Lonchura striata: one gene and its partners. The protein of the gene in region 2 purifies or fractionates together with the protein of the main gene of each other region. This does not show direct contact. Links are inferred from orthologs where the notes say so. Each region holds a gene or a part of one and is shown on either strand. Other genes may lie near its edges. The genes, in order: EEF1B2, EEF1A2, VARS1 and EEF1G.

Region 1 (7,512 bases), on a different chromosome or scaffold from region 2:
GCTTAAGTCCTGTAGCTTTTAAAACCTGTATTTGAATCTTAACTAGGCCACTGAACCAATACACCTTTTCAGACCATGCAAAGACACTGAAATACTGCAGTATTGCAGTTCCCCTGTTACAGCTACCTACATTTCATACATCAGCAGTGACCACAAGTCCCACTACTCAGTACTAGCCCACAAACCTGCACTCTCCCCCACACCCTGCTCTGAAATTTCCCCATACTTACAAGATCCCCAGACCAAGCCATCTGCTTGAATGCTTCGAACACACTCCTCTAGTTTGGCCATGTCTGTCTCATCATCCCAAGGTTTCACATCAAGCAAGATTGATGACTTTGCAACAACAGCTGGTTCTAGGGGAAGAAAATCACCATGAAAAGATAGGTATCTTCCAAAAACTCATGAATACACTTGCAAAATGGTTTTACAAGAGCAACTTATCCCATTTCACGAGCAAGAACCTGATGACATTGCTGTGACAGGCCTCTGGTACCAAGGCACATTTCTGAAGTACTGCAGCTGTGTACATCCCAACTTTCAATATGCAGATACATTATGTATACACAGATTTGAGCAGATGACAGTGTTTGTTACATAGGAAGTCCTTCTCAGAACATCTGAGAAGGAGCCTAATGCTGTGTAACAGTTTATTTTCCACAGATGGAATACTGCAACTGCTACAGTTCTGAACAGTTCCAGACCAGTAGCTGTGGAATAACTTGTGTACTGCAGCACTTTCACTAAAATTTTGAAGAAAATCCTTGTAGAAAGCCCAGTCTCTGGAAAGAACAAGCAGGAGTGTATGAACCAGAACAAAAAGCATGTTAACATTCCTATTTGCATTGGGAAGGCTGAGCTCACTGGCAATTCAAGTGAAGCTAATCACTCCTGTCTCATTCCAGTCAAGCTGATCTATTATTACAGTTAATTAGTCTTTCTAGCCATCCTGTTCAAATGCATAAAAATTAACTCCAGTGTAGAAGATTGGAAAGTTCTCGGCACACATACTTTTGGACTTCTTAGATTCATACTGGGCCAGACGCTCTTCCCTCAGTTTCTTTGCTTCTTCACTTTCCTGAAAGACAAATTTGCAGTTACAGAAAAAAGCACCAAACCTCCACATCTCCAAAGCACTACACCAAACTGACTGGCATTTACTCAGATAAAAACAAATCATCACACTTGTCAGCCGAAAGATGGTGATTTTTTGTTTTACTCATCATGTAACCAGCCAAAATTAGACAGCTCATCCCATTCCAGCACCTTATTTTCTAACTTTTGAGTTTTTACCTTCCAAGCTTCCCTATTCTGCAAAGATAGCTACACTTGGGTATTGCAAGTAGGATTATCAAGGTTGGAAACATAAGTAACTCCAACTAGGTCAAGGTGAAAAAATCTGCACACCTTATTTAATTTCTAAAGCGTAACAGGAATAATACAAAAAGGTCACAAGTACCTCCTCATCATCAGATCCAAAAAGGTCAATGTCATCATCATCTTTGCTATCTGTGGCCGCACCTGTTGTATCCTCAACATCAGCAGGACCATATTTTCCCAAAGCCTTCTTTACTCCTGGCAAGCTGAAAGAAAAATGCAGGTATCAGGAACCTCCTCAAACATCAATACAATCACTGCCAGCTTATCAATGCCCGTACAAAGCTATTTATAATGAAAAACTTGTGCTAAAAAGAGTAAAAATCCAGCTTTGCTACTTGAAATCAGAACCTCGTGAAAGCCAGCCCCAACACTCCTGACATGCCAGCTGAGTAATCTGTGAATATGGGATTTGCTGTAGCTCAGAGCTGGTATGATCCTGCCCAACTAAGTACATGGATAAGAAAAGCTTTCTTATTGGAATCCTCTATCTGCACTACATTCTGTCTAGGAGGAATTACCAACTTCATGTACGTGCTTCCCTGGAACTACTTTCACTTGTTTAAAACCTAGTAAGTCACTGAAAACACATTACTGCATGGTAACTGCTATTTTCCCATTTCAGTGCCCTAAACCCTTCCTCTCAACAGGACAAAAAAGTCTAACTTCCTGAATTTACCTTCACTTGCTGCTCATATGGTCCTGTCATCTTAGAATAAGGTCACAGTTGTATTGCTCATGTGAACAGCTGTTACTGAAGCCATAAAATTCGCTTTTGATTTCAGGAACCCTAAGCAGTTTCCAGATACTTTGTGAAACCACTTCAGAATTTCAGTCCCTCTTAGCATTACCAAAGCTTCAGAAACTGATTAGAGACTGAGCTACCCATTTTTGGTAGTTTCCTCCGAAGAGGACTGAGGCTCAGAAGCAGCGTTGCAATACTGACCCTACCTATGCTGTACCTTTTCAGAGGCCTGCAGTCTCCACGGATCTCAATACAGCACCTTTCATGAACACATAAAACCACTAAAGAGAGAAAAGATATACTATTTCCTTTCATATCTACTTTTCTTTCCATGTCCTTCGGTACTGCAATCATTAATTTTGTCCTCCGTACTGACAGAAGATGTCTGCCCTGTTTCTGACACAAAATGCCATGCGGTGCCACTGGAAACCAGTTTTGCTCAAACTGGAAGAAACAAACGCAACAATTTGTAGGCGAGTTCGGGGAGGTATTACAGCTTCGAAGTTTTACTATACCTTGCCTTTTGCTTTTCATACGACTTAATATGATTGTACCACCGGAGAGCATGGCACAGGTCTGCAGGCGGCGGGGCGGCGATCGCTTCGAAGACTGCTATGTCAGCCTGCGAAGGGACGTACCTGCGGAGAGCAAACCGAGTTATCTGCCTTGCTCGAGACTCGCAGGAACACGCGGAGCAGCGGCGGCCGCCGGGCTGACTCAGGGCCCTTGTCCCGCTTGTCTCCGCCAGGCCCGACTCACGCTCTCCGCGCCCAGCACCCTCCCCCGCCGCCTCTCACCCCTCGATGTAGCTCTTGTCGGCCAGGAAGTCATTGAGGACGCGGAGGCCCGCGGCGGACTTCAGGTCGCCGAAGCCCATGGCGGCGGCGCGCGGCCCACACGCTGCGCTGCCCCGACCGCCACTGCCGCGGGAAAGGGCCCGGCCGCGCCTGCGCCGGCCTTATATAGCGCCGGATCCCTCCGCGCACTGCACGCGTGTATCCCTCCGCGAGAGCGAGCCGCGAGGTAGCGCCTCAGGGGTTGACTGCTGCAGCGCAGGGCGGGCAGCGGGCGGGACAGCGGAGGTGCGGGAAAGCGTCGAAGTAATAGAAGTGAGGCTGACTATAAGCGCTAGGAAGGTTTGCGGCATTACACGGCTTTGTAGCACTGTACTGTCGCCACACCCCGCCCTGCTGGCAGAGCGGAAGTTGCCGGAGTTGAGCGAAGAAAGAGGCGGAAAGGGACGGAAACTGCCGAGGGAAGGGCGGCGCGCGTGACGGCGGCCGAAGAGGCTGTGGGCTGGCGGCGGAACTTACGCATGTCATCGTGCCCCTAGCGCTTGCCGGAAACACCCGAAGTGGTTCGCTCCGGAGGTTGCCGAGCGCGGACTGCCCCGTACGGAGATTGCCGAAGGAGGCTCCGGAGGCAGCCGAGGCAGGCGGAGGTCGCGGCGGAAAGGCCCGAGGCCGCCGCCGCGGAGGCCGAGGCGGAGCGCAGCCGTGCCGCGGCGCCGCCGCCGTCCCGCGCCAGGTAACGGCGCTGCCGCCGCTCCGGGCGCCGCCGCTCCCGCTGTCCTTGGCGGGCCGGGGGCTGCCCGGCGGCGGCGCCGCCTCCAAGGTGACCCCCGCCGGGTAGCGCTGCCGCCCGCCGTGCCCTCGGCCCGGGGACGGCGGCACCGGGCCCGCCGCAGCCGAACCGCGCTGCCAGCGGGGCAGCGGCGCCGGGGCTCCGCTGCGGGCGGAGGGGCCGCTCAGAGACGTTCCTGTGTGTGATGTATAGATTGGTAGGATCGTATGTTGCGTTTGAGGGAGGTAACTCGGTGCCCCATAACTGTGCATATAGGTCCGTGCTCTTCTGCGGCTGGTGTAGTTCTTACGCTACCTGTTTTAAACTTGCCAGCAAACATTCGAACTGGTAACAACAGTGCTCTTTTCTCTCGTTCCAAAGCACCATGCTTCGACTGCTTGCTGTCTCCAGGACCTTAGCTGGGGTCACCCAGTCCTCCAGAGTATGTGGTAAGTGTCTGTGGTTTATATCTGGGTCTCTGGAGATAAATGTATGTGCAGTTCATTTACCGGAGGGCACATATGCATACTCGCTTTGCAGGCTAAGGGATACTGTGTTGTGCTCTTGGTAGAATTGGGATTCCGTCAGCCCTCTATAAGGAAAATCAGGAGTAAGGAGTTTTTGTTTTCTTTTTCCATGTCCTTCAGGGCGTACAACTGCAACAGCAGCCAGCAACCAAATAGAGGTGTTTGTGGATGGCCATCCTGTATTGGTGAACCCTGGAACCACAGTCCTGCAGGTGTGGGAAATGACATTCTCAATTTTCTGGGACTTCCCATCTCACTTCTTGGCAGCATGTTCTGTTCCATTCAGCAAAAAGCCACCTGCCTTTACATCTTGCAGTTCTTTAGGGGTGTTTTAACTGACTGTGATGCAATTTCATGTGACAGAAATCCCTGGGGGAATCCAGTGTTTGAAAGAGAAAAATATGCCATGGTTGCTTAAAAGAAGATGCATGCAGCATCAATCCCAGCTGCAAAACTTTATTCAATGCAGTAACAGACTTCAATAAATTCTCATTGAACTTGACCTTGTAGTCTTTCAGAATCTGTACATTTTGTATCTTATTACAGTGTATCTTGGGTAAATGACAGATTGTCTCCTTTCAGTTATTGGTTGTTAGGATTCAGAGTGCTCATGCTTAGCTGCTTTTATTATTCTTGGTGTGGAAAGAAAGGGAACCTGGATCTCCCAACCTGTACAGAGCATTGTTACTTTTCAGGATTAAGTTTCAAGTAAAGATTTTTTTTAAGAAGTCATTAAATGAAGATGTGATATAATGAGTTAGAACATTAAAATATGCAATTTTTTTCTAGATATAGCCCTTGTTCTTTGGATACAAGTTACTAATTTATTTAGGCATTAGAATGTCCCCAGCAGGAACCTAGTGCAAATTTTTCTTAAATGTTGTTTTTTTAAATTAGCTTTTCAGTTTAGATAACATGGTTCTTTTTGGTAGAAAATGTCAGACAAACTAGACCTTGTTAAAGTTTTTTTATTAAATTTGGTGGTATTTCTTCTGGCAGGCATAGCTATAATGCTGTAGCATAGATCCCATTAGTTGTGGGGGGTTTATGCAGGAAAGGCTGTCTTCAGCTGGTCTCTGGAAATCTGTTGGCTCTGTCCTCCTGTCTCTATTTCTGTCGTGTTGTCTTTGAGTTTGGGCTCTGCTGAAGTTTAAGATTGACTCTGCTGGAGTACCTTCATACAGAGGATCTGTGTTGTTGGATTATCAAAAATCATTCTGCTCATGGTGCTCTTTTTAAGTTTTTCAGTTTTTATTGTGATGCACTTTTCTGTAAAGAGTCTGTTTTTTAAAAAGTTATTTGTATTATTAGTGCCCTGTTGCAGAGAATTCTCTGTATTATTGGAGGAAAGAATGAAAGACAGGTCAGTTTTCATTTCCTCAATCACTTATAAAGGTTAGAAAAACTATATTTGTAATTGATATCCTGACTTTTTTTTTTGCTTTGTCACAATTTTTTATTTATGGTCACTTCTTAAGATGAAAGGTCAAGTGCCTTCTATTCTTGAGCATTGACAGTGTTACTCTTTGAAAAGCTGCATGGTGTTTTCTGAGGTGGAACTGAAAAATCTAATTAAGATTTAATTTTCCTCTATTTCTTATTTTTTGATAGGCTTGTGAAAAGGCTGGAGTTCAGATACCTCGTTTTTGTTACCATGATCGTCTCTCTATTGCTGGAAACTGTAGGATGTGTCTTGTGGAAATAGAGAAAGCTCCAAAGGTATTGTTTGTGTTTCACAGGAATTGCAATATGGAATATGCAATATGGAATTCAGTAGGAGTTTTTTGCTGTGCTTGGGCCTAGTTTAAATCTTTTAAGTAATTGTTGGCATTCTCTTGGACATGAGCATTTGATAGCTGTGTGTTTGCTGTTAGATGCATTTTATGCTTTGTAGTTCAAGCTTCAGCCACACATGTTCAGCTGATACTACATAGATAATACACTTCAGATACTGTATGAATTTAACTGTACGATTAGTAACTGCAGGTTCATTGTAAGTAAAGATTGCAGTTAGTTAGTAGTTTATATGTTAATGCATTGATATCTGTTGTGAAATAGTTGATTTCAGGAGCGAACACTGTCTTCAGCAGTACTAAGAAATCTGTGCACATTCTTTTAGGGTTCAGTCTTGGATTACACATTTATACTCACACATAAAATTTTTTAGCTCAACCCAACTTCTATTCCATACTTTGAGCTTTGTATCTCTGGATATGTTGGGTTATCACTAAAGGTGGAAATCATGATGCGATTGAAAAGTAAAAGGGATTTATTTACAGAGCAGGAGTTTTTGTTACTCTTGCAGTAATCTTGAGAAGAATTTTATTCCAAGACTTTATACAGGCTTTGTGCAAATAAGTGTCTTGTAAACGATTCATACTCTGAATTTCAGTTCTAGAGGTTTTCTAGATGTCTGCTGAAACTGTTTGATTTGCCTTGTCTCTATTACAACTGAGATTCTTAATGCTGTAGCTACTCAAATTGAGACTGGAAATTGTAGAATTTTAAAATGTTAATAATTGTAAAATTATTCATAAATAAAGAATTATGAATAAGTCATAACTATTTTAACCTTTTTATATAGCAGATTATTAATGAATATGGCTTCTAGTGATGTTATCAGTTAGACTCTTTTTGTTTTCTTTGCAGACCTCTTTATTTCTATTTATTTATTACAGATACATATGTTAGAATTGGGGGGGAGGAGATGTGGGTTTGTGCCCATCTGAGAAGAAAAATATTTGTTTCATGCTTCCTTTTTATTGTGATTGCAGCCAGTTGCTGCTTGTGCCATGCCAGTTATGAAGGGCTGGAATATACTGACAAACTCTGAGAAGTCCAGGAAAGCAAGGTACCTTTCTTTAGCCTCCTTTGGCTGATTAGGTGTACTGTCTGCTAAGTGATGTTAAGTTGACATTAATTTAATTCTCTGAACCTAACAGAGAGGGTGTAATGGAGTTTCTGCTGGCAAATCACCCATTGGACTGTCCTATCTGTGATCAGGGTGGAGAATGTGATCTACAGGTACAAGATCCAATTAAATTATGTAGACTTATGTATAATGCTGTTGTCTTAGGTGAAATTGTGCTTTCCAGCAGCCTGTGTTCTATTGTCTGTTGTAGGACCAGTCAATGATGTTTGGCAGTGATAGGAGCAGATTTAGAGAGAGCAAACGTGCTGTGGAGGACAAGAACATTGGCCCCTTAGTCAAAACCATCATGACTCGGTGTATACAGTGCACTCGATGCATCAGGTAAAGCTCTTTACTTTCACTGAGCAGAGTACTAAGCAGGCATATTT
Region 2 (7,714 bases):
AGCTAACAGCCTCCACTCTGTCCACAAACTGCCTTTTTGAGGACAACCACTGCTCTACCCTCCTTGGATCTGCTTTTCCAATGGCTCTTGCATGAGGCCAGGCTGCACTTCTTCCTTTCAAGGACTCAATTTCCTTGCACAGAAAGAAAACAGCAATTTACAGCCATCCCTCTGTCCAGCCCCAGCTTCTCCCTTGTGAGACCAGAGCTTCTGGAGTGACATCTGGGCTGGCATTCCTCGTGGCTGCCATCTGCCCTGCCCAAACCCCCTTCTTCAGAGGAGACCTGCTGCATTTCATAACCACAAACACACAACTGCTTAGTGAGCTGAACACTCACGGGCAGAAACACCCCCAGAGCCAGGCAAATCCAGGCAGGCAGCCTGGAGTGTTCACATCCCAGATCCATACAAATTACCAGCACTGCGGATTATTCCCTCTCCCAGTCACTGTGAGGGCCTCCTGGGGGAAAAAATAAATTCCAGTGGTTATGTCTGGGCAAATGGAAATGTTAGCCTAATTTAAAGAACCAAATGGAAATGTTAGCCTAGGTTAAATAATCAAATGGAAATGGTAGCCTAGATTAAAACACCAAATCTCAGTCCAGGGGCTGTAGAGCTGGGTGTGGTGGAGGTGATGATGATGAAAGGAGTAAGAGGTCCCTGCCATGTTTGTGTGCAGCCTGCCCATCCCTTCTGAGGAAGGAGGTTTCTGTTTTCTTGAGTCATCCTAAATCATTTGATGGTGGCTTACATGGAAGGTGAATCAAGCCTCAAGAAGATGGAGGGGAATTGTTTCAGGGCCGTGGATCTGACACCAGATGGAGGCAGACGAGGTGCTAAACTTCAGCCTCCCTCGGATTTCTCTTGCTCGGGTCTCTGTTATTTTACATTTAAGGGTAAATTTACACTGTGTTTTTTTTGGTTTTTTTTTTGTGAGGGAAGATTATTCCACTCAGGTGTGGAAGTTGAGCTTGATGGTCCCCAGAGCCACACGTGCTCAGTGAAGTCCTCAGCCCCAGGTGCCAGCCAGACCTGGGCACACAGCTGTGGCTTTAACCTCTCGAGGCTGGGGCAAAGTGGCTTAAGGGAGCTGGGATTAGCCAGGTCTGACAGCCCTCTCTCCTCTCCTCTCAGCTCCTGGACTATTTATAGGCCGATGGGCCGTCAGGCTCTATTTCAGTGCAGAACAGGGCACTGCCAAGTTCCCTTCTGCCTGCCTGGGAAAAGGGGTGGAAACAAAAATTCTTTTTATTGGAGAAGGAGAGGAGGCAGGAGAAGCCCATCCCATGCTCACCTGGCAGAGGTGACCAGGATTTATTCCATCCCCATCTTCATTATTAAACTCAGCCATTGCCCCTCTGAGGGCAGTTCCCAGGCTGCCTCAGCCCTTGTGTGAAAAAAAGGCAAAGCACTAAAATATGGATAGAAATAACGAGGGATTTATAAATTTCTCCCTCCTCCAAATTATCACACTTGCTGTCTATCTCCAGCCCGTCCAGAACTATGGTAAATCTTCTATCCCCATCCCAAAACAAGGCTGGGGTAATCTCTTTAAATCCTCTTAGAATCTCCTCCTTGGACGTTTCTTTTTATTTTTCCTGGCACTCAGTGCATTTTATGTTGTGCAAGGAATGCTTCATAAAAACAGAAGATATCTTGCCTATCATATTTCTAAGAAAATACCAGTGAGGTATAATATTCATTAAAAAAGGCCTCCCTTTGAGCACTAATGAGAAGTTAGAAACATTTTTATCCACATGATGATTAAATTTTTAACCATTAGTCTAGGAAGGTAAGAGTATCTTCGTAAAGGTATCTAAATTAGCTGTTGAATTCACTGGAAGGATGGTCTGGGCCATAAAATTGTTCTGGGTTATTTCATAGCTTTAGTCAAATTAGCTTCCTTTTTACCTATATTTGGCTTTGGGACACAGAAAATTTTGGATTGGCCTTGGAAATGCACAGCTGACACAGACATAAATATTCTGACCACTACATATTATTTTTTTGTGCAAAGAAAATGTCATTATATTACTGAAGGTTTATGGTTTCCTTGTCCTCCTAGGACCTGAGCCCCACTTCCCATTAAAAATGAGATGATGTTTTTAAATCACAAATTCTTGAGCAGCCCCCATATGTGCTGCAGGTGCAGAAATCTGTTTTCTGTGCTTGTCCCTTGCTTAGTCACTTGCTCCTGGACTGATGCATCCCAGCGAGGCAGAGATGTGGGGCAGTGCCCTCAGGGTCTCCCAGGGTCCTGTTTGTGCCCTGCAGGGACTCCTCTCCTCCCCGCCCCTGTGGGAGCACAGCCCTTCTGCACCACTGGGGACAGAGATGTGGGATTTGGTGGCCCATCCAAAGCCAGCCCTGTCCCCTCACTCCCAGACTGCCACAGGGAGTCCAAGTCCCCCTGGGCCAGCACTTCCATCATTTCCCCATCTTCCAAACAGCCCTTCCCTCCATTTATCTGTCTTCCTCCCAACCCTCTGTCTCTAGTCTCTCCATCTCCTCCATCCCATCTCCTTCTCATATCTTCATCATCCCTCTCTCCTGTTTCTCCATCTTTTATCCTTCCATCTTTCCCCCATTCCTCTCTCTTCCATTCTGCTGTTTCCCTCTGATTTCAGTCTTCCATTTCTCCATCTTCCCATCCCTCCATTTTCCACCCCTCTGCCTCTCCATTTCTCCTCCATTTTCCCCATCCTTGCATCCTTCTGCCTTCAATCTCTCCACCTCCCTCTCATGCCTTCATCTTCCATGGCTCCTGTCTCTCCATCTTTCCTCCTTCCACCTTCCTCCCATCTCTCCACCTTCCATCTTGCCGTCTCCCTCTGACTTCAGCCTTCCATCCTTTCACCTTCCCATCCCTCTATCACCCCCCCTCCACCTCTCCATTTTCCCCATCCCTCCATCTTCCTCCCATCCCTTTATCTCCCATCCTTTTACCTCCTTCCCATCCCTACACATTCCCTCCCAGTCCCCCGTCTCTCCCGCCTCTCCCTCCTCCTCCTCGTCGTCCTCCTCCTCTCCCCGTCCCCCCCGCGCCTCCTCCTCCTCCTCCTCCTCCTCCTCCTCCCCCGCCCGGTACCGCATTGCCGTAGTGCGGGGGGGCCGCTGCATTGCGCTGCCGCCGTCGATAGGAGGGCCCCTCCCGCGGAGATAAAGCCGGCGGAGCCCAAGCCGGCAGCCTCTGGCCGCCCCGACCGCCGCCCCGGTAAGAGCTGCGGGACCCCGGCGGGATGGGGGGACAGGGGGATGCGGGAGGGGTGTCCTGCCCCAGGGGATCAGTGCCCCCCTCCCGTGTGTGGGTGCTGTCAGCCCCTCCGGGGTGCGGGGTACCCCGCGGAGGGAAAGGATGGGGCTGGACCATTCCTTCATCCCGCAGGTGCGTCTTTGGCGCAGGTGGGAAATAACACGCAAGCCGTGGTGCTTCAGGACGTGAAAATCCTTCTAAATGTCGTGCACGAGGAGGAAAACCTGATAATCCCCCCAGCTCCCCCCTCCCCCCACCCTGCCTTTAGAATCATAGAATCCTCGAATGATTTGGCTCGGAAGGACCTTAAAGATCATCTCGTTCCAATCCCCCGGCCATGGGCAGGGATGTCTTTGGCTCCTTGGGGAAGGAATAATAAAAAAACAAATCCCCAATTCCCAAAGCGATCCAGCATCTCCCGCTGTGTGCCAGGGGTCTGCAGGGCAGGATTGGGTCCGGGTGCGAGTCCGGGACCGAGCATCTCAGTGGAGCAAAATGGCCAGACCCGGGCTGGCGGGGTTCAAGGGCAGGAGGGACGGGCCAGCCGCCGCTCCTGCTGCCCGGGGAAGCTTCTCGCTGGGAATGTTACCACCCGCATGACTGCATCGCTATTAGAGCAGCAAACTCCTCCTGACCTCCTTCACTTCTACGGGCAGATTCGTGAAATTGGATTTTATTAGACGTCAGATTAAAGCTCCTAATTGTGCCCGGTTCGTGTGCAGCTGCAGAGCCATGGCAACGCCGGGAGATGCCAGGACAGCTCCCCGGATATATCCGTTTGCGTTTTTAGCCTCCTCCCTCTCTTCCATCCAGTTTCACGGCAGCAAAATATAATAAACCCCGCAAAGTGCAGGCTCAGAGGAGCCCTGGGCAGCCCCGCTGTTGCAGCCCTGCTTGGGGGAGCAGGCGAGGGCTATTTTTGTCCACCCCGTTTTGCAGACACTCTGTTGTCACCTGAACTGTGCCCAGCTGGGGAGTGGTGAGGGCAGCCCGGGAGGACGGGCACCCTCGGCTCCTCCCAGGGCACCCACGACATGGAGGAGATGCCCTCGGCTTTGGAAAGAGCGAGAAGGCAGCGGGAGCAGCCCTGAGTCGCGGGGAGGTTTTCCAGGGAGGTTTTCCAGGGAGGAAGGGCACCTTCGAAGCATCCATGACGTAGCCCTGGGAACTGGGGGTCTCCGCGAGGGAGGTGGAGGGCAAGATGCCGAAAAAACCACGAAAAACACGGCGTCTTGCCGAGAATTGGAGGCTGGACGTGGCAGCCCGAAATAGCCCGGCTGGCTCTGACCCAGTGCGGGCAGAGCTGCCAGACGAGGCCGGGCACCCCCGGGCGAGTGGTCCAGCGGGAAGGTGGGGCGAGGGGAGGACAGACTTTCCCCAAGGGCTGGGAGGGGATTGGCACAGGGGGGCTCTTTTGACGCTCCCGACTCTTCCCCCTCAGCCTCCCCCAAAAGGCAGCTGCGTTCCCACCGCCCTCCCCAGCGCCGCCCGCCCCGGCCAGCCCCGCGTAGCCCAGCAGCATGGGGAAGGAGAAGACGCACATCAACATCGTCGTCATCGGGCATGTGGACTCTGGGAAATCCACCACCACCGGGCACCTCATCTACAAATGCGGGGGCATCGACAAACGGACCATTGAGAAATTTGAGAAGGAAGCTGCCGAGGTGAGGAGCCTGTCCCCACCCCGCATTCCCACCCGCGGGGATGCTCCACGCTGGCCCCCGCCAGTATCCCGCAGGCAGTATTCCCCTTTTGCCCGTGCTGCCCTTCTCTTACCTTCCATTTCTCCCTTTGTTCCCATCTATTTTTCTCCCTTTGCACCCCTGGGTCTCCCCGACTTCTCTGGCCTTGGGAAAATGGGCCATTTGGGTGCTCGCCACCCTCTGTTCGGAGCTGGGGGACTCCCTGCTGCCCGCTGGTAACCAGGGCAGGGGCACGGCGAGGTCTGCAAGATGGGTCAGGGAACCAGCAGGAATCACTAGAATCCTGGAAAAGCCACAAACCATGGTGCTTCAAGGCATGAAATTCTTTCTAAATATGGTGCGTGAGGGGGGAAAACCTGATAATCCCTCACTGCATAGGTCAGGGCTGTCTGAATTTCACTCTGAAGCATCAGTTTCCAGTGCCTGCTGGGACAAGGTGCAGCATCAGCTGGACTCATTTGATCCAGCTGAAAAACCTCATTCCCTTTTTCCTCAGGCAGGTGGTCTGGTGTGTAGTGTGATTGGCAACCTATGATACAGAAAACTGTCTGTAAATCTGAGCATTTAAGTTAAATTCTTTTGTTTAACCCTTGCAATGGTGACATTTATAACAATTTTATCGTGCATGCATTTAGAAGCTGTCGCACAGCAAAGCACCACCCGATACCTGTAATGTGGCAAACCCCAGGATTAATCAGGAAGAAACAGGCTTGGGAAGAAAAATGTCAATTGGGAGTGCAGAGAAATTAATGATGGTAAATTCTAGAGAGGCGGGTGAGCTGGGAACAGCCTGGCTGTGTTATCCACAGGGCAGCTCCTGTCACTCAGAAGATGGCTTGTCGTCATCGCTCTGGAAATGCAGATATCCCTCTTTTTTTTTTTTTTTCCATTTATTTTTCTGGTCAAAATCACACATTTCATTGACAAGAAAGAAAAAACAAAAGAGATTTACAGAGCTGCCACTTTTAATTTCATGTTTTGCTGTCTGTCTTGACCTTTTTAACTTGCCGATAGTATCTGAGCTAAATCCCTTATTTTCCTGCCTCACTTTCAGCCTTTTTTTGCATCCTTAAGGAAAGGAGCCTCTTCCTTCATACAAAATTACCCTTCTCCCCTGGATTAAAATGGTTGCCGATATCCTTCCACAAATTCCCCCCTTTACCCATAAGATCAGATAAGGCATGATAAGGTTATCGTTGATGTGATTGCAGTGATTTTAATTGCACAGGCACTTTCACTGACTTGCCAGGATCCGCGGGCACCGGAGGCTGCTATTAATAGCCTATTGACTGAGCTTACAGACTCCATTTTCTGATGCAGGGCTGGGGAAGGGTTTGCTTCCATTAGGTGGCATTCACAGGAAATGGAGGCCTGCGTGCACCCAAAAGGCCAACAAAAAAACTCCAGGGTCTGTTATTTTATTTAAGAGAAAAGAGCGAGGATTTCTCTCTTTTTTCCCCCCTTTTGATTCAAGGGCAGAGGTAACAGTATCTCTGAAAGAAGAGTTGTTCTGTTTTAAAAAAAAAAATTAAATAATCAGTATTTGTGGCCTCCAAATAGAAAGCTGTCCCTCCACTGGGGTTTGATCAGGGAAATTCAGGCTATTTCTGGCACTGAACAGGGAAGGTATTGTGCAGAGCTAGATAATACCCTGGGTTTTTCAACACCAGCCCTGGGTAACTGAATACACCCTGTGAAAGGAGGGAAACTGTTTGCTGAATAAAGGATCTCATTTGTCTTCACGTTACGTGTGATGCCGAGCTCTGAGGGGGTCTCACACGTGATGAGCAGCTGGCTGTGTGTGTGGACATGGCCAATGGCAGGAAGGTGCTGATTCCCACTCAGCTGCTGTGGGAGAGCCAGGGCTCTGCTCTGTGCCTCAGTTTCCCCATCCAGAAGGGAGGCAGTAGGCTGCTGATGAGGGAGAGGCTGTGGGATGTGCTGATTGACCTCCTGCCCAAGAAAAGCCCATAATTAATGCAATGCACAAATGCACCATTCCCTGCTGGGTCTCCATTTCCAGCAGCACACTCTGCTGACTGCTCCCTGTTCTCTGGGAAGGGGGAGTTTGATGTGCGTGCTGGAAAGGGTTAACCTGATCCTATCCCTGGAAGTGTTCAAGGCCAAGCTGGACAGAATTTGGAGCAACCTGGTCTAGCAGAAGGTGCCCCTGTCCATGGCAGAAGGGTTGGAATGAGCCGATCTTTGAGGTCTTTTCCAACCCAAACCATTTTGTGATTCTAAAAACCTCCAAGCTCCTCCCATCCCCCCTGGCCATCCAGTGTCAGGAAGATGCTCAGGAGCAGAGTCTTGGTTCTGGATTTTTCCATGCCAGTGAGAGCTCACAGCTGCCCAGCAGAGATTGGGCATCACCTCCTCGACCTGGCGTCCCCTCTGAGGAGGGGAAATCTTACCCCTGGCTTTAGGATTTTGCCCTTAATCCTCCGGAGCAAGCTGCAAAGTCATCGCACCACTCAGCTGTTATGAAACAGGCTGTCACCATTAATTCCTTGTGCTGGCTGGGAACAGGGCTGGAGTGTGGGAGATGGAGCAGAGCAGCAGACCAGCCCCTGGGCATGGTGTGGGCAAGGTTTGGATGTGATTCTGTGTTCTCTTTCTTGGGGGGGCTCATCACTGATGAGTACCTGCCACTGGGGGCTGCTTCCCTCCGACCTGTGATTGATAATGGGCCAGAAGAAACTGTGATTGCAGGGAAAAGAGGGATGGATGGATGGATGGATGGATGGAAGCAGGGTAT
Region 3 (7,907 bases), on a different chromosome or scaffold from region 2:
CAGCTGGGGGGCACGGAGATTGGGGGTCACGGGGGGGGTTTGGGGGGGTCCAGCAGCTGGGGGGCACGGGGTTTGGGGGTCACTGGGGGGTTTGGGGGTCACGGGGGGGATTGGGGGGTCCAGCAGCTGGGGGGCACGGGGACTAGGGGGTCACCGGGGGGTTTGGGGGGGTCCAGCAGCTGGGGGGCACGGGGATTGGGGGTCACGGGGGGGTTTGGGGTCACCGGGGGGATTGGGGGGTCCAGCAGCTGGGGGGCACGGGGATTGGGGGGTCACTGGGGGGATTGGGGGTCACTGGGGGGATTGGGGGGCACGGGGGGATTGGGGGTCACTGGGGGGATTGGGGGGCACGGGGGGATTGGGGGTCACCGGGGGGATTCGGGGTCACTGGGGGGTTTGGGGGGTCCAGCAGCTGGGGGGCACGGGGATTGGGGGGTCACCGGGGGGTTTGGGGTCACCGGGGGGGATTGGGGGTCAGGGGGATTGGGGGTCACCGGGGGGGATTGGGGGGGTCCAGCAGCTGGGGGGCACGGGGATTGGGGGTCACTGGGGGGATTGGGGGTCACTGGGGGGATTGGGGGTCAGGGGGGAATTGGGGGGGTCCAGCAGCTGGGGGTCAGGGGGGATTTGGGGGTCACTGGGGGGATTGGGGGTCAGGGGGGGGATTGGGGGTCAGGGGGGGGTTTGGGAGTCACCGGGGGGGATTGGGGGTCACCGTGGGGGATTGGGGGTCAGGGGGATTTGGGGGTCAGGGGGGGGTTGGGGTCATGGGGGGATTGGGGGCCAGGGGACATTGGGGGTCACTCTGGGGGTCTCAAGGATATTTTGGGGGTCTCAGGGAGATTTTGGGGTCCCAGGGCCATTTTTGGGGTCCCACCTGGGTGAAGGGCCCCAGCAGGGTGCAGGTGACGGTGACGTCGGCCAGGGTGACGCCGTCGCCCACCAGGAAGCGCCGCCCCCCGCCCAGGTGGGCTTCCAGAGCCCCCAGCCCCCGGCGCAGCTCCTGCAGCCCCCACGGCCGGTCCTGGGGAAACGGGGGCACCCCGAAATTCGGCACAGGGACAGCACCGATCCCCCCGGATCCCGCCGGTGACACCCCAAATTCCATCATGTCACCCCGGATCCCACCGGTGACACCCCAGATCCCACCGGTGACACCCCAAATTCCACCGGTGACACCCCAAATTCCATCATGTCACCCCGGATCCCACCGGTGACACCCCAGATCCCACCTGTGACACCCCAAATTCCATCTGTGACACCCCAAATCCCACCTGTGAAACCCCCCAATACCCCCCAAATCCCCCCCAAACCACCTCATACCCCCCCAAACCCCTCTGAAACCCCTCTGAGACCCACCAAACCCTCCCCAAACCCCCTCATACCCCCCAAATCCCCCCAAATGCCCCCCAAACCCCCTCATACCACCCCAAATACCCCCCAAATCCCCTCATACCCCCCAAACCCCCTCATACCCCCCAAATCCCCACATACACCCCCCAATATCCCCTCAAACCCCCTCATACCCCCCAAATCCCCATGTACACCCCCCAATACCCCCCCAAACCCCCTCATAACCCCCCAAATCCCCACGTACCCCCCCCAAATCCCCTCATACCCCCCAATACCCCCTCAAACCGCCAGTACTCCCCCAAATCCCCCCCAAAACCCCCCCAAATCCCCTCATACCCCCCAAATCCCCACGTACACCCCCCAAATCCCCCTCAAACCCCCTCATAATCCCCCAAATCCCCCCCAAATCCCCACGTACAACCCCCAAATCCCCCCTCATACCCCCCCAAATCCCCTCATACCCCCCCCAATACCCCCTCAAACCGCCAGTACTCCCTCAAATCCCCCCCAAAACCCCCCCAAACCCCCTCATACCCCCCCAAATCCCCATGTACACCCCCCAATACCCCCCCAAACCCCCTCATAACCCCCCAAATCCCCACGTAGACCCCCCCAAATCCCTTCATACCCCCCCAATACCCCCTCAAACCGCCAGTACTCCCCCAAATCCCCCCAAACCCCCCAAACCCCCTCATAATCCCCCAAATCCCCCCCAAATCCCCATGTACACCCCCCAATACCCCCCCAAACCACCTCATAAGCCCCCAAATCCCCTCATACCCCCCCAATACCCCCTCAAACCCCCTCATACCCCCCCAAATCCCCATGTACACCCCCCAATACCCCCCCAAACCCCCTCATACCCCCCAAATCCCCTCATACACCCCCCAATACCCCCCCAAACCCCCTCATACCCCCCCAAATCCCCACGTAGACCCCCCAAATCCCCTCATACCCCCCCAAATCCCCATGTACACCCCGCAATACCCCGCCAAACCCCCTCATACCCCCCAAATCCCCACGTACCCCCCCCAAATCCCCTCATACCCCCCCAATACCCCCTCAAACCGCCAGTACTCCCCCAAATCCCCCCCAAAACCCCCCCAAACCCCCTCATACCCCCCCAAATCCCCATGTACACCCCCCAAATCCCCCCTGTACCCCCCCCAAATCCCCTCATACACCCCCCAATACCCCCCCAAACCCCCTCATACCCCCCAAATCCCCACGTACCCCCCCCAAATCCCCTCATACCCCCCCAATACCCCCTCAAACCGCCAGTACTCCCCCAAATCCCCCCCCAAACCCCCCCCAGACCCCCGCAGACCCCTCCCCACGGACCCGCGGGGGTCCCCCCAGCGCCAGGGCGGCGGCCGTGCCCAGGTCGCCCTCGGCGAAGGCGACCCACTGCCGGACCAGCGCGGCCTCGGGGGGGTCCCGGCCCCGCAGCTCGGGGGGGCTCAGCAGCAGCGCCGCCGCCCCCGGCCCCAGCAGAGCCCCCCCGGGGGTCCGCAGCAGCGGCGGGACCCCCGGCCGGCCCGCGGGCTCCAGGCGGGGCGGGGGGCCCGGGGAGAAGCGGGCGGCGATGAGGACGCGCAGCGCGGCCGAGCCCGAGGGCGGCGGCGGCAGCAGCAGCACCGGGGGGGCGGCCATGGGGCTGGGGGAAACGGGGGAGTGGTGAAAATTGGGGGGAAAACGGGGGGAAATTGGGGGAAAACGGGGGGAGTGGTGAAAATTGGGGGGAAAACGGGGGGAGTGGTGAAAATTGGGGGGAAAACGGGGGAGTGGTGAAAATTGGGGGGAAATTGGGGGAAATTGGGGGGTTTGGGGAATTGGGGGAATTGGGGGAAATTGGGGGGAAAACGGGGGGATTGGTGAAAATTGGGGGAAAACGGGGGGATTGGTGAAAATTGGGGGGATTGGGGGAAATTGGGGGGTTTGGGGAATGGGGGGAAAACGGGGGGAGTGGTGAAAATTGGGGGGAAATTGGGGGAAATTGGGGGATTGGGGGGAAAAACGGGGGGTTTGGGGGAAATTGGGGGATTGGGGAAAATTGGGGGGGATTGGGGGAATTGGGGGGTTTGGGGAATTGGGGGGATTGGGGGAATGGGGGGAAAACGGGGGATTGGTGAAAATTGGGGGGATTGGGGGAATTGGGGGATTGGGGGAAATTGGGGGGGATTGGGGGAATTGGGGGGTTGGTGAAAATTGGGGGGTTGGGGGAATTGGGGGGATTGTGGGGGAAAACGGGGGGATTGGTGAAAATTGGGGGGATTGGGGAATGGGGGATTGGTGAAAATTGGGGGGATTGGTGAAAATTGGGGGGAAAACGGGGGGATTGGTGAAAATTGGGGGGTTTGGGGGAATTGGGGGATTAGTGAAAATTGCGGGGTTGGGGGAATTGGGGATTGGTGAAAATTGGGGGGTTTGGGGGAAAATTGGGGGGGATTGGGGGAATGGGGGGAAAAACGGGGGGATTGGTGAAAATTGGGGGGATTGGGGGAAATTGGGGGGATTGGGGGAAAATTGGGGGGATTGGTGAAAATTGGGGGGATTGGGGGAAAATTGGGGGGATTGGTGAAAATTGGGGGTTTGGGGGAAATTGGGGGGATTGGGGAAAATTGGGGGATTGGTGAAAATTGGGGGGTTGGGGGAATTGGGGGGATTGGGGGGAAAAACGGGGGGATTGGTGAAAATTGGGGGGATTGGGGGAAATTGGGGGGAAACGGGGGGATTTGGTGAAAATTGGGGGGAAATTGGGGGAAATGAAGAGAAATTGGGGGAAATGGGGGGAAATCGGGGGAAATGGGGGGAAAGTGGGAGAAAAATGGAGGAAAAGGGGAGAAATTGGGGAAAAAATGGGGGGGAGATTGGGGGAGATTTTGGGGGAAAATTAGGGGGAAATGGGGGGAAATTGGTGAAAAGTGGGGGAAAATGGGGGGAAATGAGAGGGAATGGGGGAGGAAATTGGGTAAAAATGGGGAAAAATGAGGGAGGAAATTGGGTGAAATTGGGTAAAAATCGCGTGAAATTCGGTGAATATAGGGGGAGAAATTAGGGGAGAATTGGGGGAAATGGGCAGATAAAAGGAAGAAAATTAGGTAAAAATTAGGGGGGAAAAGAGAGAAAATTGGGTGAAAATTGGGAGGAAAATTGTGGGAAAAGGGGAGAAATGGAGAGAAAAAAGAAGAAAAATCGGTAAAAGCAGGGAAAAAATTGGGGGAAAGTGGGAGAAAAAAGGGAGAAAATGGAGAGAAAATTGGGGAAAACAGGGAAAAGATGGAAAAAATTGGGTAAAACCGGGAAGAAAGCCGGGCTCCCGGGGGCACCGGGGTCGGGAGGGGATTGGGGGGTCCCGGGTGGGATTTTGGGGGTCCCGGGTGGGTTTTTAGGGTTCCCGGGTGGGTTTTTGGGGGTCCCGGGTGGGTTTTTAGGCGTCCCGTGGGGGTTTGGGGGGTCCCGGGTGAGTTTTTGGGGATCCCGGGTGGGATTTTGGGGGTCGCGGGTGGGTTTTTGGGGGTCGCGGGTGGGATTTTGGGGATCGCGGGTGGGATTTTGGGGGTCCCGGGTGGGATTTTGGGGGTCCCGGGTGGGATTTTGGGGGTCCTGGGTGGGATTTTGGGGTCCCGGGGGGTTTCTGGGGGTCCCGGGTGGGTTTTTGGGGGTCCCGGGGGGTTTTGGGGATCCCGGGTGGGATTTTGGGGGTCCCGGGGGGTTTTGGGGGTCCCGGGTGGGATCCCGGGGGTGGCTGAGGGCCGGTACCGGGGGCTGTGGGTGCCGGGTTTTTCAGGGGGATTTTTTGGGGATTTTTGGGTGGATTTTGGGGGGATTTTGGGTGGATTTGGGGGGTCACGTGGCCCCCCCTCCCCGGTACCTGCGGCGGCGGCGGCGGCGGCGGGAGGAGCCACGTGGGGCGGCGCGCGGGGCGCATGCGCAGGACGCGCGCGAATGACGCAACTTCCGGTTGGCGCCGGGAGGGGCGGGGGGAGCGCGGCGCCCCCTGGCGGCCGGGAGGTGCCAAGGCTGCGCCGCGCCAAAGGGACCCCAAAAAAACGCCCAAAACGGCCCGAAACCAGCCCGAAAATCCCCCCAAAACAGCCCGAAAAGAGCCTGAAAATCCCCCAAAAAACAGCCCGAAAAGAGCCTGAAAATCCCCCAAAAAACAGCCCGAAAATCCCCCAAAAACAGCCCAAAAAGAGCCTGAAAATCCTCCAAAAACCAGCCCGAAAATCCCCAAAACTACAGCGAAATCAGCCCGAAAATCCTCCCAAAAACAGCCCAAAAACAACCCAAAAATGCCCCAAAAACAGCCTGAAACCCCCCCCAAAAATAGCCTGAAAATCCCCCCAAAAACAGCCCGAAAAGAGACTGAAAATCCTCCAAAAAACCCCAAAATCACCCCAAAAACCCCCAAAATCCTCCCAAAACCCCCAAAATCACCCCAACCCCCCAAAATCACCCCAACCCCCCAAAATCACCCCAAAAACCCCTAAAATGATCCAAAAACTCCCAAAAAAACCCAAAATCCCCCCAAAATCCACTCGCAGGCTCAGGGCGGGGCCGGCATTTATTGGGGTTCAGCAACGGGGCCGGGGGCACCCCCAAATTTTGGGGTCCCCCCCGAATTTTGGGGATTTCACCCCAAATTTGCGGCTCCTCCCGAGCATTTTGGGGTCCCCCTGCTTTTTTAGGGCGTCCCTGAAGATTTTGGGGTTCCCCCGGATTTTTGGGGTCCCCACAAAGATTTTGGGGGGGTCCCCCCAGTTTTTGGGTTATCCCCGGGGATTTTGGGGTTCCCCCAAATTTTCGGGGGGTTCCCTGGGGATTTTAGGAAATCCTCGAGTATTTTGGGGGTCCCCCTGGGATTTTGGGGTCCCCCTGAAGATTTTGGGGTCCCTCCGGGGATTTTGGGGGTGTCACCCTAAATTTGGGTCTCCAGCCAGGAATTTGGGTTATCCCAGGCGATTTTGGGTTTCCCCTGAAGAATTTTGGGGTTCCCCCTGGGATTTTGGGGTTCCCACTGGGTTTTGGGTTATCCCTGGCGATTTTGGGGTCCTCTCGGGGATTTTGGGGGTGTCACCCCAAATTTGGGAGTCCCCCCAGGGGATTTGGGTTTCCCCGAAGATTTTGGGTCATCCCCGGGAATTTTGGGAGGTTCCCTCGGGGATTTTGGGGTTCCCCAGATTTTGGAAGGTTCCCCCGAGGGATTTTGGGGTCCCCAGATTTTTGGGGAGTCCCCAGGAATTTTGGGGGGTGGTCCCCCTGGTTTTTTAGGGTATCCCCAGGGATTTGGGTTATCCACAGGGATTTTGGGAGGTTCCTGTGGGGATTTTGGGGTTCCCCAGATTTTGGGAAGTTCCCCCAAGGGATTTTGGGGTTCCCCAGATGTTTTGGGGGGTTCCCCAGATTTTAGGTCCCCCCCAGATTTTGGAGGGGTCACCCCAAAATTGGGAGTCCCTCCAGGGGTTTGGGTATCCCTGAAGATTTTGGTTTATCCCGGGGATTTTGGGAGGTTCCTGTGAGGATTTTGGGGTTCCCCAGATTTTGGGAGGTTCCCCCGAGGGATTTTGGGGTCCCCCAGAATTTTTGGGGGGTCCCCCGGGTTTTGGGGGTCACTGTTTCTGCTGCAGCGCCTCCTTGCGCGCCGCGTCCTGCAGCAGCTGCGTGTCCACCTCGTCGGCCGGCAGCTGCACGTAGCGAACCACGGAGCCGCGGATGAAGCAGTTCTTCACCGAGAGCTGGGGGGAGAGCACCCCAAAATTCACCCGGGGACACCCCAACAATTCCTGAGAAACACCCCAAAAAATCCCCAAAATCCCCAGAGAAATCCCCCCAAAAACCCCCAGAGAAATCCCCCCAAAAATCCCCGAGAAATCCCCCCAAAAACCCCGAAAAAACAAAGATTCCCCCCAAAAACGCCCCCGGAGCCGCGGATGAAGCAGTTCTTCACCGAGAGCTGGGGGGAGAGCACCCCAAAATTCACCCGGGGACACCCCAACAATTCCTGAGATACACCCCAAAAAATCCCCAGAGAAATCCCCCCAAAAACGCTGAAAAAACAGACAAAGATTCCCCCAAAAACGCCCCCGGAGCCGCGGATGAAGCAGTTCTTCACCGAGAGCTGGGGGGAAAGGCACCCCAAAATTCACCCGGGGACACCCCAACAATTCCTGAGACACATCCCAAAAAATCCCCAAAATCCCCAGAGAAATCCCCAGAGAAATCCCCCCAAAAATCCCCGAGAAATCCCCCCAAAAACCCCGAAAAAACAAAGATTCCCCCCAAAAACGCCCCCGGAGCCGTGGATGAAGCAGTTCTTCACCGAGAGCTGGGGGGAAAGGCACCCCAAAATTCACCCACAGACACCCCAAAATTCACCCACAGACACCCCAAAAATTCCTGAGATGCACCCCAAAAAATCCCAAAAATCCCCAGAGAAATCCCCCCAAAAAACAGAGAGAAACGCTCCAAAATCCCCCCAGGTAACCCCAAAAATCTCCCCAAAATCCTTCCCAGAAATCCCCAAAATCCCCCCAGATCACCCCAAAATCTCC
Region 4 (7,674 bases), on a different chromosome or scaffold from region 2:
GCACCGGCAAGTGAGCGCGGGACCGGGGGAACCGGGGCGGGAGTAGCGGAACCGGCACCGAAATCCGCAAAACGGCAAAAAAATCCCGAAAAACGGCACAAAAATCCCCAAAAACGGCACCAAAATCCCCAAAAACGGCACAAAAATCCCCCAAAACGGCACAAGAATCCCCAAAAACGGCACCGAAATCCGCAAAAAACGGCACCAAAATCCCTAAAACAGCAAAAAAATCCCCAAAAACGGCCCCGAAATCCCCCAAAAAGGCCCCGGGAAAAACGCCCAACAAACCCCAAATAAATCCCAATAAATCGCAATCAATCAATCAAAATTAAATTAATTAACTGACATTAACCCCGTCTCTCGGGGGCAGCTTCGCTGTTGGCACCGGGGTGGTCCAGACCCCAATAAACCCCAATAAATCAATGATAAATCCCAATAAAACCCCAATAAATCAATGATAACCCCCAATAAAACCACAATAAATCCCCCGATGAGCACTAATTCATTAATTAATGGTTGTTAATTACAGGTACGGGTTCGTTATCGCGGTGACCACCATCGACAACGTGGGCGCGGGGGTGATCCAGACCCCGATAAACCCCAATAAACCCCAATCAATCAATGATAAATCCCAATAAACCCCAGTAAATCAATGATAAATCCCAATAAACCCCCATAAATCAGTGATAAATCCCCCAATGAGCACTAATTCATTAATTAACGGTTGTTAATTACAGATACGGGTTCGTTATCGCCGTCACCACCATCGACAACGTGGGCACGGGGGTGATCCAGACCCCGATAAACCCCAATAAACCCCAATAAATCAATGATAAATCCCAATAAACCCCAATAAATCAATGATAACCCCCAATAAAACCACAATAAATCCCCCGATGAGCACTAATTCATTAATTAACGGTTGTTAATTACAGATACGGGTTCGTTATCGCGGTGACCACCATCGACAACGTGGGCGCGGGGGTGATCCAGCCGGGCCGCGGCTTCGTGCTCTACCCCGTGCGCTACAAGGCCATCGTCTTCCGGCCCTTCAAGGGCGAGGTGGTGGACGCCGTGGTCACCCAGGTCAACAAGGTCAGGGGTCACCGGGGGTCAGGGGTCACGCGGGGGTCAGGGGTCACCCGGGGGTCACCCAGGCCGGCAAGGCCCGGCCTCCCCTTCTGTCGTTTTCTGTCTCGTTTTTATTAATTTCTGGTTTTTTTGGTCCCTTTCTGGGCCTTTTTCTCCTGGTTCTGCCCCGTTTGAATCCATTTTTATCCATTTTTATCCATTTTAATCCCTGTTTGCCCAATTTATCCCTTTTTATCCATTTTTGCCCATTTCATTCCTTCCTTTTTATCCATCTTCATCCCATTTTTCTCCCACTTTTATCCATTGTTATCCATTTTTATTTGTTTTTGCCCATTTTATCCTTTTTTATCCATTTTTATCCGTTTTTGCCCATTTTATTCCTTTTTATCCATCTTCATCCCATTTTTCTCCCACTTTTATCCATTGTTATCCATTTTTATTTGTTTTTGCCCATTTTATCCCTTTTTATCAATTTTTATCAATTTTTGCCGATTTTATTAATTTTTATCCATTTTTACCACATTTTTGCCCCATTTTTCCCATTTTTTCTCCCTTTTTCCCCATTTTCCCCATTTTCCCCCTTTCCCCCCATTTTTCCCCATTTTTGCCTTGTTTTTTCCCCGTTTTTGCCCCTTTTTCCCCCTTTTTTCCCCACTTTGCCCATTTTTGCCCTGTTTTTATCCCTTTTCCCCCACTTTTCCCTGTTTCTGCCCAATTTTTCCCACTTTTCCCCATTTTTCTCCACTTTTGCCCATTTTTGCCCATTTTTGCCCCGTTTTCCCGTCCCCAGGTGGGGCTGTTCACCGAGATCGGGCCGATGTCCTGCTTCATCTCCCGCCACGTGAGAGGGGGACGGGACCCCAAAAATGGCCAAAAGGGGGGAGGGGACCCCAAAAATGGCCCAGAGGGGGGAGGGGACCCCAAAAATGGCCAAAAGGGGGGAAAGGACCCCAAAAATGGCCAAAAAGGGGGAGGGGACCCCAAAAATGGCCCAGAGGGGGGAGGGGACCCCAAAATGGCCAAAAGGGGGGAGGGGACCCCAAAAATGGCCAAAAAGGGGGAGGGGACCCCAAAAATGGCCCAAAGGGGAAAGGGACCCCAAAAATGGCCAAAAGGGGGGAGGGGACCCCAAAAATGGCCAAAAGGGGGGAGGGGACCCCAAAAATGGCCCAGAGGGGGGAGGGGACCCCAAAAATGGCCCAAAGGGGAAAGGGACCCCGAAAATGGCCAAAAGGGGGGAGGGGACCCCAAAAATGGCCAAAAGGGGGGAGGGGACCCCAAAATGCCCCTTGGGGCTCTCCCTGACCCCTCAACCCCCCCTCCCACCATTTCCCACCCAAATTTTCCCCTGGGGACCCCAAATCTGCCCCAAATCCCCTTGGGGACCCCAAATCTGCCCCAGGGGACCCCAAATTTTGCCCCGGGGACCCCAAATCTGCCCCCCTGTCCCCCCAGTCCATCCCCTCCGAGATGGAATTCGACCCCAACTCCAACCCCCCCTGCTACAAAACCGTGGACGAGGTGAGGGGGGGTTTGGGGGATTTTGGGGGGTCCTGAGGGAAATTTGGGGGTCTTGGGGGGGTCCTTGGGGGTTTTGGGGGGACTTTGGGTGTCCTGGGGGGAATTTGGGGGGGGATCCTGGGGGGATCCTGGGGGATCCTGGGGGGATCCTGTGGAATTTGGAGTCCTGAGGGGTCTGGGGGCGTCCTGGGGGGAATTTCGGGGGTCCTGGGGAGAATTTGGGGGGTCCCGGGGGGATTTGGGGGGTCCCGGGGGGATTTTTGGGGGTCCCGAGGGGATTTTTGGGGGTCCTGGGGGAATTTTGGGGGTCCCGGGGGGATTTGGGGTTCCCGGGGGGATTTTTGGGGGTCCCGGGGGGATTTTTGGGGGTCCTGGGGGGATTTTGGGGTCCTGGGAGGATTCAGGGGGTCCCAGGGGGATTTTTGGGGGTCCTGGGGGGATTTTGGGGGGATTTTGGGGTCCTGGGGGGATTTTTGGGGGTCCCGGGGGGATTTTGGGGGGATTTTGGGGTCCCCACTGTCGCTCCCCCAGGACATCGTGATCCAGCAGGACGACGAGATCCGCCTGAAGATCGTGGGGACGCGCGTGGACAAGAACGACATCGTGAGATTCGGGGGGAAATCCCGGCCTTTCGGGCAAAATCCCAAAATCTGGGGGCAAATCCTGACATTTTGGGGGAAATGCTGAAATTCTGGGAGGAAAATTCCCAAAATTCAGGGGGGAAAACCCAAAAATTTGGGGGGAAAATCCTGAAATTGGGTGGGAATGCTGAAATTCGGGGGGTAAATCCCAAAATTTTGGGGGAATCCTGGGACTTGGTGGGAAATTCTGGGATTTGGGGGAAAATCCCAAAATTCTGCGGGGAAATGTTGGGATTTTTGGTGGGGAAATCCTCAAATCTCGGCACGGGGGGAGAATCCACAAATCCAGGGAGATATTCCCAAATTTGGGGGAAATTCCCAACATTTGGGGGCAAAATCCCAAAATCTGGGGGGAAATGCTCGAAATTCAGGGGGGAAATCCAAAAATTCAGGGGGGAACCAAATATTTGGGGGAAAATCTCAACATTTGGGGGAAAATCCCTAAAATTTGGGGGGAAATTCTCAAATTTGGGGGGGAAATCCCAAAATTTCAGAGGGAATTCTCAAATGGGGGGGGACATCCCAAATTTTGGGGGGGTCCCAGCTCCGGGGGGGGTCCAGGTCAGCCCCTCCCCCTCCCCTGATCCTTCCCCTCCCCCCCAGTTCGCCATCGGCTCCTTGATGGACGATTACCTGGGTGAGGCGGGGCCGGGATTTGGGGGGATTTGGGGAATTTTGGGGGTCCTGGGGGGATCTGGGGGAATTTTGGGGGTCCCGGGGGGATTCTGGGGGGTCCCGGGGGGATTTGGGGGAGCCCAGGGGGGATTTGGAAGTCCCGGGGCAGTTTGGAGGGTCCCGGGAGGATTCTGGGGAGATTTGGGGGGGATTTTGGGGGTCCCGGGGGGATTTTGGGGAGTCTCAAGGTGGATTTGGGGGGTCCTGGGGGAATTTTGGGAGTCCCGGGTGGGGTTTGGAGGGTCCCGGGAGGATTTTGGGGGGTCTCGGGGTGGATTTTGGGGTCCCTCATCCTTCTCTCCCCCCCCAGGCCTGGTCAGCTGAGCCCCAGGAGCAGCCGCGACCCCTCCCCAATTTCCCCCCCCTTCTCCCAAATTTTGGGAGCCCCACCCCCCCCATCCCCAATTTTGGGGGGTTCTGGCAGCCGGGCCCCTCCCCCAGAGCTGGGGGGGCTCTGTTTTCCCTCAATAAAGGCGTTTTTCCCAATTTTCCGCCTTTTTCTTTTTTTTGGGGGGGGCTCCGGGAATTTTGGGGGGGGTCTTCGCCTCCCTGGGGGGCCCACCGCGCCATCGCCGCTTTAAGGCGCCATCGCCGCTTTAAGGCGCCATCGCCGCTTTAAGGCAGCGTCGCCCCTTTAAGTGCGGTCCCCCCCCGTTGCCACGGCAGCCACCCCGTCCCGCGCTTTACGGCGCCGCGCGTCACTGCCGCGCTCCTCCCACCCAGCCCCGTTTCCGCGCTTTGCGGCCCGGCCCGGCCTTCTCCCCGCGCTCTCCAAGATGGCGGTGTCCGGGGTGAGTGCGGCCGCCGCCGCCATCCGCCGCCATCCTCCTTCCCCCGCCGCCCCGCCGCCTCCCCGCCGCCACCGGGGGAACCGCGGGGCACCGGGGATGCGGCCGGGCCGGCCGCGGAGCCGCGGGGAGGCGGCGGGGGGCGCGGATGGCGGCGGGAAGGGAGGGGGGGAGCCCTGAGGGGAACCGGAGCCGGTGAGGGGGGAGGGCGGCGGGTTGGTGCCACCCTCGGGGACATCTCGGGGACATCTCGGGGACATCTCGGGGACCCCCTGCCCCGATTTTCCCCCAAATCCTGCGCGGGTACCCCAAAACCCGGGGGGTTCCAGGGGCTTCGTCCACATCGGGACCCCCGGGGCGGATTTTGGGGGTCCTGCGTCCCCTCAGTGCCACCCCCCGGTGTCACCCCGGTGTCCCCAAGTTCTGGGGACATCTCGGGGACCCCCTGCCCCGATTTTCCCCCAAATCCCGCGCGGGTACCCCAAAATCGGGGGTTCCAATTGTCCCCCAGTGCCCGCCCCACACCGGGACCCCCGCGGCCACCCCCGTGTCCCAAAACTTGGGGACATTTTGGGGGCATTTTGGGGAGATTTGGGGACACTTTGGGCGCCCTGTGGGGACATTTCAGGGACAATTTAAGAGACGTTTTAGGGACATTTTGGGGCCACTCTGGGGATATTTTGGGCACACTCGAGAGCCACTCTGGGGACACCTTGGGGACCCTTTGGGGACACTTCAAGGGACCTTTTAGGGACACTCTGGGGACCCTTTGGGGATATTTTGGTGACACTTTGGGGACACTTTTGGGATACTCTGGGGACCCTTTGGTGACACACTGGGGACACTCTGGTGACACTTCGGGGACACTCTGGGGACCCTTTGGGGATATTTTGGGGACACTCTGGGGACACCTTGGTGACACCTTGGTGACACTTTGGGGACCCTTTGGGGATATTTTGGGGACACTTTAGTGACACTTTGGGGATATTTTGGGGACCCTTTGGTGACACTCTGGGGACACCCTGGTGACACTCTGGTGACACTTCGGGGACACTCTGGGGACCCTTTGGGAATATTTTGGGGACACTTTAGTGACACTCTGGGGACACTTTCGGGATACTCTGGGGACCCTTTGGTGACACGTTGGTGACACTCTAGGGACCCTTTGGTGACACCCTGGGGACACGTTGGGGACACTCTGGGGACCCTTTGGGGACACCTTGGTGACACTCTGGAGACACCTTGGTGACACTTTGGTGACACTTTGGAGACACCTTGGTGACACTTTGGGGACCCTTTGGTGACACCCTGGGGACCCCCTGGTGACCCTTTGGGGACACTTTGGGGACACTCTGGAGACACCTTGGTGACACCCTGGGGACACCCTGGGGACACTCTGGAGACCCTTTGGGGACACCCTTGGGACACTTTGGGGACACTTTGGTGACACTCTGGTGACACTTTGGGGATATTTTGGTGACACCTTGGTGACACTTTGGGGACCCCCTGGTGACCCCCTGGGGACCCCCGGTGCCTCCCGCAGACGCTGTACACGTACCCCGAGAACTGGCGCGCCTTCAAGGCGCTGATCGCGGCGCAGTACTCGGGCGCGCGGCTGCGCGTGCTCTCGGCGCCGCCGCTCTTCCGCTTCGGCCACACCAACCGCAGCCCCCAGTTCCTGCAGAAGTTCCCGCTCGGGAAGGTCAGTCTGCGCCTGAACAACCCCAGAATTCCCAAAAAATCCCAAAAAAATCCCAAAAAAATCCCAAAAAACTCAAAAATCCCAAGATCTGGGGCCTGGGGTTTGGGGGGTTCAGACCCTGCAGTTCCTGCAGAAGTTCCCACTCGGAAAGGTCAGTCTGAGCCTGAACAATCCCAGAATTCCCAAAAAATCCCAAAAAAATCCCAAAAAACTCAAAAATCCCAAGATCTGGGGTTTGGGGGGTTCAGGCTCCCCAGTTCCTGCAGAAGTTCCCGCTCGGGAAGGTCAATCTGAGCCTGAACAATCCCAGAATTGCCAAAAAAATCCCAAAAATCAAAAAAAAGAAACCCTAAAAAACTCAAAAATCCCAAAAAACTCCCAAACTGTGGGGATTTGGGCGTTTGGCTCAGAATTTGAAGTTTTGTGGGGTTTTTTGGTGGTTTTGGGGTATTTTTGGGCTTTTTTTGAGCTTTGGGGTTTTTTGGTGGGGGGGGGATTTCTTGGGGGATTTTTGGGGATTTTTGTGGGGGTTTTTTGGGATTTTTGGTGGTTTAGGAGTTTTTAGGAGTATTTTCTGGATGTTTTGGGGTTTTGGGGATGTTCTGGGGATTTTTGGGATTTTTTTGAGGTTTGGGGCTTTGGGGGGTATTTCTTGGGGGATTTTTTGGGGATTTTTGTGGGGGTTTTTTGGGATTTTTGGTGGTTTTGGAGTTTTTAGGAGTATTTTCTGGATGTTTTAGGGTTTTGGGGATGTTCTGGGGATTTTTGGGATTTTTTTGGGGTTTTGGGGGGTATTTCTTGGGGGATTTTTTGGGATTTTTGTGGTGTTTTTTGGGATTTTTGGTGATTTTGGGGTTTTTGGGAGTATTTTCTGGATGTTTTTGGGGTTTTTGGGATTTTTTTGAGGTCTGGGTTTTCTCCCCGCAGGTCCCGGCCTTCGAGGGCGACGACGGATTCTGCGTCTTCGAGAGCAACGCCATCGCCTACTACGGTTAATTAGTGCCCTAATTAGCTTAATGAGCTGCTGTGCTCCTCACTGGCTGTGCTCTGCTGCCCTAATTAATTAATTTGTTCGTTGATTGATTGATTGATTGATTGGCTCTTTCCTGGAGCTCATTAATGATCCCCTTTTGCTCATTAACGATTTTTCCTGCCCCTTAATGAGTCCCTCCCCTGATTAACCATTCCCCTGGCTAATTAATTTCCCTGCTGCTAATTAATTACCCTTTTGGGTGATTAATTAACCCTTTCCTGG

The links.
Region 1: the proteins of EEF1A2 (region 2) and EEF1B2 purify together in Homo sapiens (co-immunoprecipitation; 4 studies listed by BioGRID and IntAct, counting the BioPlex papers as one, with this or other methods). This does not show direct contact. The link is inferred for Lonchura striata from reciprocal best matches to the Homo sapiens genes EEF1A2 and EEF1B2.
Region 3: the proteins of EEF1A2 (region 2) and VARS1 purify together in Homo sapiens (co-immunoprecipitation; 3 studies listed by BioGRID and IntAct, counting the BioPlex papers as one, with this or other methods). This does not show direct contact. The link is inferred for Lonchura striata from reciprocal best matches to the Homo sapiens genes EEF1A2 and VARS1.
Region 4: the proteins of EEF1A2 (region 2) and EEF1G purify together in Homo sapiens (affinity purification with mass spectrometry; 4 studies listed by BioGRID and IntAct, counting the BioPlex papers as one, with this or other methods). This does not show direct contact. The link is inferred for Lonchura striata from reciprocal best matches to the Homo sapiens genes EEF1A2 and EEF1G.

Annotation. Positions count from the first base shown.
Region 1 is NC_134610.1:25,893,222-25,900,733, reverse strand, and holds the start of EEF1B2 (elongation factor 1-beta), read right to left. Parts: upstream 3,015-7,512; 5' UTR 3,000-3,014; coding exon 2,920-2,999; intron 2,761-2,919; coding exon 2,638-2,760; intron 1,584-2,637; coding exon 1,460-1,583; intron 1,235-1,459; exon of another isoform or gene 1,155-1,234; intron 1,079-1,154; coding exon 1,012-1,078; intron 719-1,011; exon of another isoform or gene 585-718; intron 357-584; coding exon 231-356; intron 1-230. Other genes in the region: NDUFS1 (NADH-ubiquinone oxidoreductase 75 kDa subunit, mitochondrial), read left to right, coding at 4,071-4,134, 4,333-4,424, 5,824-5,931, 6,987-7,063, 7,155-7,236, 7,335-7,465. UniProt on the Homo sapiens protein: Catalytic subunit of the guanine nucleotide exchange factor (GEF) (eEF1B subcomplex) of the eukaryotic elongation factor 1 complex (eEF1).
Region 2 is NC_134619.1:6,370,056-6,377,769, reverse strand, and holds the start of EEF1A2 (elongation factor 1-alpha 2), read left to right. Parts: upstream 1-4,709; 5' UTR 4,710-4,773; coding exon 4,774-4,917; intron 4,918-7,714. UniProt on the Homo sapiens protein: Translation elongation factor that catalyzes the GTP-dependent binding of aminoacyl-tRNA (aa-tRNA) to the A-site of ribosomes during the elongation phase of protein synthesis.
Region 3 is NC_134631.1:259,700-267,606, forward strand, and holds the start of VARS1 (valine--tRNA ligase), read right to left. Parts: upstream 3,007-7,907; coding exon 2,881-3,006; intron 2,761-2,880; coding exon 2,695-2,760; intron 1,025-2,694; coding exon 836-1,024; intron 1-835. Other genes in the region: U6 snRNA-associated Sm-like protein LSm2, read right to left, coding at 6,966-7,091. UniProt on the Homo sapiens protein: Catalyzes the attachment of valine to tRNA(Val).
Region 4 is NC_134638.1:103,693-111,366, reverse strand, and holds the start of EEF1G (elongation factor 1-gamma), read left to right. Parts: upstream 1-4,669; 5' UTR 4,670-4,705; coding exon 4,706-4,720; intron 4,721-6,260; coding exon 6,261-6,419; intron 6,420-7,346; coding exon 7,347-7,410; intron 7,411-7,674. Other genes in the region: POLR2G (DNA-directed RNA polymerase II subunit RPB7), read left to right, coding at 1-10, 936-1,095, 1,883-1,933, 2,548-2,613, 3,145-3,216, 3,858-3,891, 4,240-4,253. UniProt on the Homo sapiens protein: Probably plays a role in anchoring the complex to other cellular components.